2 linked regions of the Sus scrofa genome follow. The protein of the gene in region 2 interacts with the protein of the main gene of each other region in a pairwise test. Links are inferred from orthologs where the notes say so. Each region holds a gene or a part of one and is shown on either strand. Other genes may lie near its edges.

Evidence for each region.
Region 1: the proteins of POLDIP3 (region 2) and ERH interact in a two-hybrid assay, tested with the Homo sapiens proteins (2 studies listed by BioGRID, with this or other methods). The link is inferred for Sus scrofa from reciprocal best matches to the Homo sapiens genes POLDIP3 and ERH.

Annotation. Positions count from the first base shown.
Region 1 is NC_010449.5:93,080,055-93,087,471, forward strand, and holds the start of ERH (enhancer of rudimentary homolog), read right to left. Parts: upstream 3,897-7,417; 5' UTR 3,829-3,896; coding exon 3,826-3,828; intron 1,692-3,825; coding exon 1,604-1,691; intron 1-1,603. Other genes in the region: SLC39A9 (zinc transporter ZIP9), read left to right, coding at 4,989-5,084. UniProt on the Homo sapiens protein: May have a role in the cell cycle.
Region 2 is NC_010447.5:6,189,665-6,196,444, reverse strand, and holds part of POLDIP3 (polymerase delta-interacting protein 3), read right to left. Parts: intron 4,864-6,780; coding exon 4,684-4,863; intron 4,201-4,683; coding exon 4,123-4,200; intron 1,375-4,122; coding exon 1,245-1,374; intron 1-1,244. UniProt on the Homo sapiens protein: Is involved in regulation of translation. Is preferentially associated with CBC-bound spliced mRNA-protein complexes during the pioneer round of mRNA translation. Contributes to enhanced translational efficiency of spliced over nonspliced mRNAs.

The DNA.
Region 1 (7,417 bases), on a different chromosome or scaffold from region 2:
AAAAATAAGGAAATAAGAAAATTACCATTTGGCTACCACCCTGTGAGAACTGATTCTAGTAACTCCTTTAACTTTTTTTGTTTTAGCTTTTGAGATGGAAAATAAACCACCATTTCTAATTAAAAAAAAAAAAAGCTATGGCCATCAAGCTACAAAATGAAGGGAAGTACCTTAAATACGTATTGCTAAGTGACAGAACCACCATTTGATCTAGCAATCCCACTCCTGGGCATCTACCCAGAAAAAACCACGACTCACAAAGACACATGTACCCCATTGTTCACTGCAGCACTATTTACGCATAGCCAAAACATGGAAACAACCTAAATGTCCATCGACAGAGGAGTGGATCAAGAAGATGTGGTACATATACACAATGGAATATTACTCAGCTATTAAAAAGAACGAAATACCAGCATTTTTTGCAACATGGATGCACCTAGAAACGATCATGCTAAGTGAAGTCAGCCATACAATGAGACACTAACATCCAATGCTGTCACTGACATGTGGAATCTGAAAAAAGGACAGACTGAACTTCTTTGCAGAACAGATGCTGACTCACAGACATTGAAAAACTTATGGTCTCCAGAGGAGACAGTTTGGGGGGTGGGGGGATATGCTTGGGTTGTGGGATGGAAATCCTGTGAAATCAGATTGTTATGATCATTATACAACTATAGATGTGATAAATTCATTTGAGTAATTAAGAAAATAAAAAAAGAAGAAATGAAGAATGGACAATTTATTAGAAAGGGTGCAGGGTGTGCACGAGTGGTTTACTTGATATAATGATTAAATGTAAGGATGAGGGAGTTCTCTGATGGCCCTACTGGGTTGAGGCTCCTGCACTCTCGCCAATGTGGCTCTGGTTGCTGCTGTGTCTAAGTTCAATCCCTGGCCCAGGAATTCCCACATACTGCCTCTGTGGCAAAAAAGAAAAAAAAGAACAACAACCAAAACCCAAGCGAGAACCTGAAGGGAACATCTGAAACATCTTTTTTGTCTGAACATCATCCATCTCCTCCTCAACTCCCATTTAATAAATAAATAAATAAATAAATAAATAAATGTAAGGATTAATCCAATTTGTGATGATCCAATTTATGTGATCTCATCTGAAAAGTTTATTGAAGGCTAATACTTCCCTTCAGGGTGGTGCCATCTTATCAAATACACAATAAATTATACTGATTAGGTTCTACTTGCCTTTATTCACTGAGCTAATTATTTCCTAACAACATTCTTATGGACTGTAATCAGCTTTTAACTATGTTTATTTGCTTATAAGCAGATTTGGTTCTGTAGGCACTCCTGCCTGCCTTAACAACTTTATAGTGCTTAGTTTATCCAGAATATATAAGTGATAGCTGTAAAATACTTCCATAATACAACAAAATAACAATACATAACAGAATTTTACAGAACAATCAGAGGCTTGGGAAAGACATTCATTATATACAAGAGCTTGATAAGACAGCATGCATAATTAATATTTCAAGTATTCAACAAACATGGTCCTAAATATCTACTTTCCCTGCTCGAATTAACACCTCAAGAAATCTGGAGGAAAAAACAAACCTAGGTCCTAAATGAGACTCACCTTCCATGCATTCATTTACAGATTCATAGTCAGCATAAGTTCTGCCTTCTGGCCTCTTGGTAGGCTGTACCAGCAAAATGGTGTGAGACTGCAGGGGGAAAAGTGATTTTAATGTAAGTTTCTAACTTATACTTGAGAAATTCTTAGTATGAGATAAAATCTGCAACATGACACAAATGATCATTGGTTATTAAGCTGGATTCACAACTCCTCTGCAAGGTCTCTTACTCTTAATGGTTGTTTTCTCAAACTGTTATTACACTTACTGTCTGTAAGTATTCAGCATTAGCTACCTTGTACTGTTTATTTTTTTTCTTTTGCATCTTTCTTCCCAGCTGGATTGAAAACTTACTTAGGTTTTCTATCTCCACTGGTCTCTTTCTATCTCTAGCTGTATTAAGTCCCTAATAAAAACTCCTTGTCGTGGTGCAGCAGAAACAAATCCAATTAGGAAGCATGAGGTTGTGGTTAGATCCCTGGCCTTGCTCAGTGGGTTAAGGATCCTGCATCGTGAGCTGTGGTGTAGGTCACAGACAGGCTTGGATCCTGAATGCTGTGGCCGGCAGTTGTAGCTCCAATTCGACCCCTAGGCCTAAGAACTTGAATATGCTGCAGGTATGGCTCTAAAAAGGAAAATTAAAACAAATAAATAAATAAAAATTAATATAACATCACCTTAGAAAATCCATTAAATTATTCATCTTGGAGATGACTCACCTTAAGGGGTGAGGGTTGATGTACTTTTATCTTTATTTATTTATTTATTTATTTAGTCTGTTTAGGACTGCAAGTGCAGCACATGGAAGTTCCCAGGCTAGGCTTCAAATCAGAGCTGTAGCTGCTGGCCTACGCCGCAGCCACAGCAACTCAGGATCTGAGCCACATCTGTGACCTACACCACAGCTCACAGCAATACGGGATCCTTAACCCACTGAGCGAGGCCAGGGATCAAACCTGAGTCCTCATGGATACTAATTGCTTCGCCCAAACTATCAAAAAAGAAAAAAGATGGGGGCAGAGAGAAGAAAAAGAAACTAAAGTTGTTCAGTAAGGGCAACAAAATTTAAGACTTCTGAACCAGTAACTGTTGACTTTAAATACAAACTCCAGTTTTTAATTCTACTCGGAATTAAAGAACTAATCATAGATATCTGCTCAATGCGAATGGGTTGTTACTAACTGCTGTCTTTTTCTCAGATTTAATCTAAGTATTTTAACACAACTGACCAAACAGTGACATAAAAGGAAGGAAACTCACTGAGATGAAATGACATACCCAAGGTCACATTATTATTTATAATAAACCAAGAATTGAAAACCCAGTCTTCTAATTCCTAGTCCTCCTTGGGAGACTATGTTGGGTCAAACACTGAAGTATCTCCATTCAGAGAAGTACATGAAAAAGTTCCTTGTTAATAACAGATGCATAATCTGTTAATAACTGTGGCAAACTGAAAACGAAAACTAAAGTATGGAAGTAATCATGATTCTTCAGAATCCCTGAGAGCATTTCCTTTTTGTGAATTACAAAACACACACACATAAGCAAAAGAAAACCCCAAAAAAACAAAACCGACCAAACAACACCCCCCGCCCCCATCCACTACACTACCGACCCAGGTTCTAAGCAACCTGGACCCTCAGCTCAACCTATCTTTTCAACTTCCAGCCCCAAAGAATATAAATAAGGATAAAAAGAGGATTGAAGGCTAAGGGAAGCACAAAACCAAGCATGTACATCTCAGAAAAGAGAAAAGGTTGCACGTATTTTCAAAAAGGCAGAGCACAGAAAACAAAGGGAATAGCTGAGCACGCTGCAAAGACGATTCCTCCTGGCCCACACTTTGGGTGCTGTAAGCTTGGGGAGAGACAGGATTGTCAGACATCTCTCGCCCATTGTTCCTACAGTAAGATAGAGCGTTTGCAGAGACAGGTCAGCATCCCAACGCCGGGTTCTACCAAGCAGCAATAGGGAGAAAGCGCATCCTCCGCACCGCACGCCTTGCCGGAGCCATCAGGCTGGCGCGCAACCGCAGGGCGGACCGGGGCTCAGCGGCCTAGTGCCAGGCCCAGCGTTTCCGCGGCGGGAAGGGGAAGGATCGATCTACAGGCTGGAGAGCCGAGCAATAGCATGCGCGCGCTAGACCGCGTTGGGAGAAGATGTACGAGCAGGGGTCGCCCCAGAGGTTGGGGGCTCGGGGAGCCGCTTAGGCCTTTCTCACCATCGCGCCGATCCCTTTTCCTGCAGCCGCTGCCGACACTGCTGCAGCACACGAGCTTAGCCGCAACGCCGCCAACAGCCAATCCCCGCGAGAGGAGCCGCCGGAAGTCGTCAGAAGGGCACCGCGAAAGAACCTTTTGAACCATAGAGGCTCCTTTATTTCCGGCAGCTAGAGCAGATGTTGACTCTGTTTCAGCCATTTTGAATAAGGGCGACGAGACATAGAGAGAATGTATCGGAACTTAAAAAAAATCATATTTCTTTCCAAGAATCTGTCTTCCTCGCTTTCGCTGTAAGACATGAGGCTACAGTGATCATCGGTTTAAACAGTTACACAAGTCATTTTTTCAATGGCCCTACTCAAAAATGGCGGCAATATAAGAATCCCGGGGCATAGGTCGGTTGCAACCCGGAAGTACCCTTCTAAAGGAGGGGGCAGTAAGGCAATCCGGAAGTGGATGTAAAGAAGAGATGCCACTTGGCGGCCATGGCAGCTGTAGTACTGGTGGCTCCGGGTCAAGGCCCAGCAGAGTGGAGTAACATGGGTAGCACTGGGTATAGGGCAGAGACAGCTTTGTATCAGCTTCCCTGCTGAGCCCCTACGACCAATCGTTAGAGACCTGCAGGACTCCTTTCCTCATCCTAGACTCGGAGAGGAGTTTGCTGGGATTGGTGGGCTGGTCCCAGACCTGGAGGAATCACCGGCGGGGCTGCTCCAGGGAGATAGGGGCGCCCGGAGAACAAACATCTTCGCTTGGATTTTTCCTTTTGTTGCTGCCGCCCGGAACGTTGTGGAGGAAGTAGGCCTGTTATGCTACCCTTATAACAATGATTGAATAACTCGCTCATTCGCATATTTTCCCCCTGGACTTTTCTCATCTGTTAACCCACGAGAATCCAGTGACTGATATCTGAAAACTTAGGGGCTGCGACCTAAGATTGCTCAAAGTTCTCTCTGGTGCTAGTATCAACAAAAAGGGAGTGTTTCCAGGTACCTTCAAGAGAACAGTGCCTCGTGAACATATCTGCTGGTGGGGAGGACAAAAGAACTGGGAAGTCTACTTGTTCTGCTGAAACAACCACACGCGTTTAAGAACCTAAGTACCCTTTGAGACCACCGAAAATTTGTACTCTGGTGGTGGTGAGTGAATAAAGGAGGGCAGAATGGATGATTTCATCTCTATTAGTCTGCTGTCTCTGGCTATGTTGGTGGGATGTTACGTGGCTGGAATCATTCCTTTGGCTGTTAATTTCTCAGAGGTAAGAAATTCTCAATTTTCTGTCAGCTGTCAGCATGGCTGCTAGGAAGTAGTCATAGTTGTAAAGGGAAGCTGCTTCCCCTGTTGATATTAGAGCTGAAGGTTTTATATATCTCTCCAAAGATGCGTGATATTTAATAACAACCTCACATTCAGCACTAGTGTTCTTTAACCAGAGGTGGGTGGATCCACTGAAGATCCTGGAATACTCTGAACGCCCTGAAATTGAATACAAAAATTTGAGGCTCTGTGCATTTTCTGGGAGAGAGGCACCATAGCATTCTTTTGATACTCAGAAGTTCCAAAGAATCAAGATTCCAGCTTGCTATAAATGAAGAACTTTATTTGTCCATGTGAGTTGAAATCAATATTAACTTCTCTCTGTGAGAATATTAAGCATACTTTTTTGGGGAAAGGGTTTTTTTCTTTTGGACAGCTGTAATTAGAATGAAGTAAGAAACCAAACTGAATTAGATTGGTTGGTTTTTTTTGTCTCTCTTTTTTTTTTTTTTTTGCCTTTTCTTGGGCTGCTCCCACGGCATACGGAGGTTCCCAGGCTAGGGGTTGAATCAGAGCTATAGCCACCGGCCTACGCCAGAGCCACGGCAACGCGGGATCCAAGCCGCTTCTGCAGTCTACACCACAGCTCATGGCAATGCCGGATCCTTAACCCACTGAGCAAGGCCAGAGATCGAACCCGCAACCTCATGGTTCCCAGTCGGATTCGTTAACCACTGCGCCACGACAGAACTCCAAAATTAGATTGTTCTTAATTCACATTTCCTTTTCAGAAGGAGACATTGGAATGGATATTTGAAGCTGTTTTCAAATCTGTTTGCTTAGAAATGAATTTTGTGTTGATATGGTTTGACATTTTGCTTAACTTGTTTGGTTATTTGTCATTACTTGAACAACCATTAAAAAGGAAGAAGGATAGTTGAAAACGTTGTTCAATGAAAATGCAGATCAGGATCTTCAGGTTGTCATAGGAAGTTCACAGCATGCACAGTGCTCAGAGATTTGAGGGAGGAAAACAACTACGTTCAGGATTTCTTGGGTATAGCTTGGAGTGGCTTCACTGCCAGGCCTGAAAATGCTTTAAAAGAAAAGGAGAGTGGAGAATGGCCTGAAGTAGAATGGAAAGGTAGCGGTGAGGTGTGAGGTGGCCTTGAAAAACCTGAAGAAAGAGATTGGTCAAGAAAGTAGCCTGTGAGTGAGAAAGGCAGTGGGACTAGGCATTATGACCTTGGAAATAAAGCCCTCAGCCACATGGAAGGGGGACTCAATTGCTGCTGCTCCTTTTCCGTTTCTTTCTTTTTTTCTTTTTTTTAATCTGTTCCTCTTAACCTCTAATGATAATATTGAGATAAAATTTGAGTGTATACATTACCTAATTACATTAAACAAAACAAAACCCAGCGAGGTACAGATGAGGAGACTGAGACTTGGATTATGTCACTTGGACAAGTTCATGAAATGTGTTAGAATCAGAGCTGTTTTTTTGATTTAGGTTTAACTGACTCAGAGCAATTCTTAGCCACTGTCCATTGTGGCAAAGGTAGTAAACTGGTAGCCCATGTACAAAATCTAGCCTGCAGACATTCTTTCTTTCTTTTTTTTTTCTTTTTGGCTTTTTTTACAGCTGCATTTGCGGCATATGGAGGTTCCCAGGCTAGGGGTCTAGTCGTAGCTACAGCTGCCAGCCTGCGCCACAGCCACAGCAACACAGGATCCAAGCCACATCTTCGACTTACACCACAGCTCACGGCAATGCCTGATCCTTAACCCACTGAATGAGGCCAGGGATCAAACCCGCAACCTCATGGTTTACCAGTCGGATTCGTATCTGTTACGCCACAACAGGAAATCTGCCTGTCAACTTTATTTGTTAGATTAGCAGAGTGTTAAATTTTATTATTATTATTATTTTTTTTTTTTTGTCTTTTTGTCTTCTTGTTGTTGTTGTTGTTGCTATTTCTTGGGCCGCTCCCGCGGCATATGGAAGTTCCCAGGCTAGGGGTCTAATCGGAGCTGTAGCCACCGGCCTACGCCAGAGCCACAGCAATGCGGGATCCGAGCCGCGTCTGCGACCTACACCGCGTTAACCCACTGAGCAAGGGCAGGGACCGAACCCGCAACCTCATGGTTCCTAGTCGAATTCGTTAACCACTGCGCCACGACGGGAACTCCCAAATTTTATTATTGTTACATCTTTTTGTCTGTGTTTCCTCAAGGCAGCTGTTGGCTAGAGCTGGGTAGCTGTGGAGTTTCATGGCCCTTCTTGGCTGTGATGCCTACTTCACCCGTTTGGGCTGCCTGTCTGCCCAGTACTTT
Region 2 (6,780 bases):
AAAAAAAAAGACTACTCACCCCTGTTTTGGAGTTCCCGTCGTGGCGCAGTGGTTAACGAATCCGACTAGGAACCATGAGGTTGCGGGTTTGGTCCCTGCCCTTGCTCAGTGGGTTAACGATCCGGCGTTGCCGTGAGCTGTGGTGTAGGTTGCAGACGTGGCTCGGATCCCGAGTTGCTGTGGCTCTGGCGTAGGCCGGTGGCTACAGCTCCGATTCAACCCCTAGCCTGGGAACCTCCATATGCCGCGGGAGCGGCCCAAGAAATAGCAACAATAACAACAACAACAACCAAAAAGACAAAAGACAAAAAAAAAAAAAAAAAGTGGCCAAATAGTCTGAACAGACATTTCTCCAAGATACGCAAACAGCCAATAAGCACAAGAAGACATACAACATCATCAACCATCACGGAAATGCACAGGAAAGTATCACCAACTGTCTTTTTTTTGTCTTTTGTCTTTTTAGGGCCACATGGGCTGCATACGGAGGTTCCCAGGCTAGGGGTCTAATCGTAGCTGTAGCTGCTGGCCCACACCACAACCACAGCAACACAGGATCCGAGCCGTGTCTACGACCTACACCCCAGCTCACGGCAACACCAGATCCTTAACCCACTGAGCGAGGCCAGGGATCGAACCCACAACCTCACGGTTCCTAGTTGGATTTGTTTCCACTGCACCACGATGGGAACTCCACCGACTGTCTTTTATTAGCCTCTGCATCTCTACTTCTAGCACAGGGCTTTGGTCCACAGTGTACTCGATAAACATGGAAAGAAGTGAATAGAAGGGGCACGGCAGAGTTTCTCTCTACGGGCTATCCTGAGATGAATATAAATCTGAATTCAGTAAAACTAGTTTACCACTAGGAGCAGAGCTCACTCAGGTGCCAATATTTAGACAAAACTCCAGGCCTTTGAGGAACCTGGGTCCTACTGGTAAGCAGACCAATATCCGACATCTGGAAAGTGGAGGCTATGGCTCTTGGCTTCTCTGGCAAGACCTCCTAGAGAACCATCCATGGGAAAATGGTGTTTCTCTGCTAGCCAGACTTAACTGCTCAGGCCAGGTAGAAACGCAGGGCCCCGGGGAACAGACGACTGCACACTGCTGCTGCCTGATCTTGGTATGCAGGAGGCCCCAGAGGGTATAAGGCACCAGGACGTCCATCTCAGGAGGGCTTTCTCAGAAGGCCTGCTGTAAGCAGTAAGGAGCAGGAGGTGGCTGCTTTCTCCCGGACTCACCGTCTAGACACCGGTTGTTATACTTCTTATACGCGGTGATGGCATCGTCCTTCTTCACAAAGACCACCTCTGCTACTCCAGGATGGACCAGCCGAGCCCTCTTCAGGGCTCCACACACACAGAAAAGCTCCTGCGAAGAACAGGAGCAGTTAGGGTTGGGGGAGAATCTGGGGCAGTCGTCGTGCCTGCCTGCCATTCACGCACTCTAAATATGGCTCTGGGTTGACTGGTGGCTGCACTCTGACTCTGCCCAGCACCCCAGAGTCCAGGGAGGCTTCATTTTAGGTGGTGTTCCTGGGACATCCACAGGCCTGAATACGGCACCAGATGAGAGGACGGATGTGCTGGCAGTGAGAAACGGATCTGGGCCTGCAAACCCTGGAGGTTCCCGTGACTCCAAGTCACCTCCGAAGTCCTCCTGCCTCAGTGCCTACTACTTCCTCAACAAGGGCAACAGTCATGCAACACAGAATTTCTCTCAGAGTGCTTGTCATGAGAATGGACATGCAGGCTCACCCAGAACAGTGCCTAACGTATCACCTGGGAATCCATTACAAGTACAAATTCTAGAATTCTATACAGGGTGACCAACCATCCTGGTTTGACTGGACGGAGGGGTTTCAACTGAAATCATTTTTAAGGCAGTGCTTTGCCAACATGCGTTATGATCACCATTTACTCCAATCCCTCCTCCTTTTACAGACCAGGAGACTGAGGCCAGAAAGGGAACATGGAGTTCCCATTGTGGCCCAGCGGATACAGATCCGACTAATATCCATCAGGATGCAGGTTCAATTCCTGGCCTCAATCAGTGGGTTAATGATCCAGCGTTGCTATGAGCTGTGGTGCAGGTTGCAGATGCAGCTCAGATCTGGCGTTGCTGTGGCTATGGTGTAGGTCGGAGGCCACAGCTCCGCTTTGTCCCCTAGCCTGGGAACTTTCATATGCTGCAGGTACAGCCCTAAAAAGATTTAAAAAAGCAAAACAAAACAAAAACAAAAAAAGAAAGGGAACAACACAATGTGGAAGTGGACTGCAAAGACTTACTAGCACTCAGGCCACCATTCCACCTGTAACTGTTTTTCACAAGGTTGTTATGAGGACAAAGAAGATTTATGAAAACGTTGTTGAAATGACTTGTTTCTAATGATAGAAGGGAAAATACTATACATAAAAAAAAAAAAGACACAAAACTGAATACTAAGTGTGACCCGAATTTTATTAATGTTGTTCTTTTATTTTATTTTTGCCTTTTCTAGGGCCGTACCTGCGGCATATGGAAGTTCCCAGGCTGGGGGTCAAACTGGAGCTGTAGCTGCCAGCCTCCACCACAGCCACAGCCACGCAGGATCCGAACCGCATCTGGGACCTCACCACAGCTCACGGCAACACTGGATCCTTGACCCACTGAGTAAGGCCAGGGATCGAACCCGCAACCTCACGGTTCCTAGTTGGATTCGTTAACCACTGAGCCACGACAGGAACTCCAAATTGTTTTAATCTTTATAATTTGTCTAGTATTACAGAAAGTAGGCTACAATTTCCTCTCGTGTGCATCGTTCACAAAGCAATCACACAACACTCATACATAAAACCATTAACAAATGTGGTGGCCAGTGTGGGCTGTTACACAACCTGGGACTCAGTTGCAGGGAGAAGCTAGCATCTGGATGCATTCATTCTGTGATCTAACAGGTGAGTCAAAATCATGCCTGAATTCTTTAACAGGTTTTCTTTCCTTTTTTTTTTTTTTTGGTCTTTTTAGGCCCGCACCAGTGGCATATGGAGGTTCCCAGGTGAGGGGTCCAATCAGAACTGTAGCCGCCGGCCTATGCCACAGCCACGGCAACTTGAGATCTGAGCTGCGCCTGTGACCTACACCACAGCTCACGGCAATACCAGATCCTTAACCCACTGAGCGAGGCCAGGGATCAAACGCACGTCCTCATGGATGCTAGTCAGGTTCATTAACTGCTGAGCCAAGAAAGGAACTCCTAAAAGGTTTTCTTGATGCCTGAATGAAAATAAGGTTGAAAGAAGTCCTGGTTGCATCTGGGTCACTCTTCACAAGTACCTGAATTAGGTTTTGCCCAGGACTGCTAAGGGTGGGACAGGATGGACCAGAAGGACAATCCAGAAGGGCCAACTGCCAGACGACACCAATCCATCTCTCTCAGGAGTCATTACTATTTACTTTGGAGTCATTATGAAAACCCCTAAAGGAGGCAGAAATTCCAAAGACTCTTGGGAAAATATGAACCACTGGATTTTCCACAGCAGGACTAAAGGATCCCATTCACGACTTAAGCCGGCACGATCCCCTGGCCCTGGTTTAGAAGCTAAGAGGAGGAGGGTTAACATAGCCAGCCTGACTGCTATCCTCTGGGACCCCGGATTCTGGGAGGGCTCCCACCACCCTAACTGGTAAGAGTGGTGCACTGTGCCTAGACAAACAACGTGGTTTATGCTAAGCACTTGCCTTCCTCTGGAGTCTGGAGTTTCGGTATGTGCTATATACAGCAGAGGGTGCCTACACAACCAGTCCCTGATAAAAACCCTGGGCACCAACTCTCCAAAGGGCTCCCCTGGTTTCACATGCATCGTCACAACCAAGTGCTGGGGGAATAAAGCACATCCTGTGTGACTCCACTGGGAGAGACTCCAGAAGTTTGCAGCTGGCTTCCTCTAACCTTTGCCCGATGGGCCTTTTCCCTCACTGATTTTGCTCTGTATCCTGTAATGAATCTTAGCCCCCACATAACTCGAAGCTAAGGCCAGCATGTCCTCTTAGAGAATCAGTGAACCTGGGGGTGGTCCTGGGGGCCCCTGAAACAGAAGTGGCTTGAGATTTAAAATTCTGGTAGGCCACAATACTCACAACAATGTCTTCCTCGGTGACTCGAGGGTGCAGATTATTCACCGTCATCTTGGTACCTTCCAAAGGGCTGAGGACAGGCTGCCACAGACAAAAGAGCATTACTGGAGTCAGAGGAGAGCAGTGCTCAAACAGCAGAACTCACTGCAGGTAACCAGCCAGGCAGGCCCAGAGGAAACCCCGTCACCACCAGGCCTCTAATCATGCCCCCGTCACCTTACACTAAGGGATGGAATCTCTCATCACTTCCTAAATATGCCTAGAATGTCACTCAAGTTTCAAGAGCCACAAAGCCCAGACCACCCTTTCTCCTTAAAGCCTCCTCGGATCTCTCCAGTGGAGTGAGATGCTCTTTCCTCGGTGCTCTGGGCAGCCCTCTTCCGAGCAGCCCCCTGTTCTATCACTAGGCACAGGGGCTACTGGGTTTTGTAAAATGGGGGTGGCAATGCCTATCTCACAGAGGCACTTTGAGGACCTGGCAGGGTACACACAGCACGTCGCCCACCCCGCAGAGGCTAACCCTCAACTAGTGCGGTCACTTCCTCTCCTTCACCATCACCTCACCTCAGCAGGCGGCAGTTCTTTGGGGGGCTCCTCCTTGTTCACTAGAGTCCGGGACATGTTGGTCAAGGCTTTTGTTCGAACAGAGGAAGGGAGAGCAGGAGCTGTGTATGCATCATTTTGAACCACTTTGGTGAGAGGAAGGGCCTTGGACATGGAAAGCTTGGAACTGCTCAGCCCAGCCTAAACAAAGAGGCAGACAGGAATCTGAGAGGCTAGGACTGGACACCCAGTGGGGGCGGCAAAACCCCAAGCCCAAGGCCTCCCACCTCCCCAATTCTATTAGTGGTCTAAAACCAGAGAGGTGCCAGTTGCCAAGGGAGGAGCAGGAAGAGAGAAAACAGCCTGCATAGGTGCTCACAGGAGCTACTTTCCAGTGTTGGAAGCCCTTAGGAAAGATGCTTCCACACAGTCCTGAACAGAAGCCATAAGCTCAACCACACCGTTAAGACTTCATAAAAACTCTATAGTCTGGGATTAGTCAGAGGCCAAAAACGGGCTCAAGTTCATTTCCAGATATGCTTCTACTACAATGGGCTGGCTAGGACATTCCCTGGTGGTCTAGTGCTTAAAGATTTGGTGTTTTCACTGCTGTGGCTCAGGTTTGAATCCTGGTCCTGGAACTTCTGCATGCCACAGGTATAGCCAACACCCCCCCACCCCGCCCCCGCCCCAAAACAAAAAACAACATGCTGGCTGGGAATAGGAACTCACTCTTAAGAAGGCCCAGGCTCCCAGCTTTTGGGTCCCTCCCTGCTCCGGCCATACAGATATTGTGCATAACCTTGCCTCCACAGCTCCCAGACTGTCAGGGACATGTTGGCAGAGTCAGCACACGCAGACCAGCAGGAACAGTTCCCTCCCTCCCCTGCTGGCCCCAACTGGGGATGTGGGTCCCTTGGAAAAATAAACCAGCCAACTCCCCGGACTTAATGTGTCTGAGGAAAAAGATGCAAGAGGCAGAAGCGGCAGGTGGTCTTCTCCATTCAGGACAGTGTCCACCAGGCACTGACTCAGGGAGAAAGGAGGAATGCAGCAGCCAGACAGGCACATTACGGGACAGGGTCAATTCACCAGCTTCTCTGAATCCAGATTCATCCTGGATCTCACATTTCTCAAGGTGTTTTTGAGTCTCAAGAGCCAGTATAGTGTAGTGGTTAAACACACAGCCTGGGAGCCAGACTGCTTAGCCTTAAATCTAGACCCACTAGCTACAAACTCAGGAGGTTTATTTAACCTCTCTGCCTAAATCCTCATCTGTAAAATAAGGGTAATCATAGTACTCACCTCACAAGGTGGGAAGGGAAGTCTTTAATGAGTTAACATAAAACAGGGTTTTTTCCAGTTTGGTAGTAGGCCCAAGCCCCTTTGTAACAAACTGGCCTCTTGCAACTTCACACATCACTTTAAGAGCTTCAGTGGTAACCATGGAGTTCCCGTTGTGGCTCAGTGGTAATGAACCTGACTAGTATCCATGAAGATGCAGGATCAATCCCTGGCCTCCGGTGTTGCCATGAGCTGTAGCATAGGTTGCAGACACAGCTCGGATCCAGTGTTGCTGTGGCTGTTGTGTAGGCCAGCAGCTATACTTCTGATTTGACCCCTATCCTGGGAACTTCCATATATGCCTCAGTTGCGGCCCTAAAAAGCAAAAAAAAAGGCTCCAATGGTAACCAGGAAATCGGTCCACGTATTCAGTGCAGTGACCAAAACAGAGTCTCTGAAGGCCAAACAAAGGCACTTGGCCTGGGACCCCACTTGGCTCCCTATGGGTGCCTGGGCCGTATCTACTGGGCTGAGCGGCACAGACCTCTGGATATTTCCAGACATCGCTTTCTTTCCCCCTCTGTGTGGTACCTAAGCATCCTCATTCACCAAGTTTTCCCCATATGCAGGCTGCACCTGGTGGAACCCTCAGGCAAGGTTCAGTTTATTCTTGCTAACACACCAACCAAGGGAATCCAGATTCAAGAATGGGAGGAGAGTTGCTGACTATGGAAGGAAGGGTAACAGGCAGAACGTCCGGCTGCAAAGGAAATAAAACGGGACTCCGTTCTGCAGGATCTCTCACATTTCCCGGGAAGTGCCTTAAACACGGCA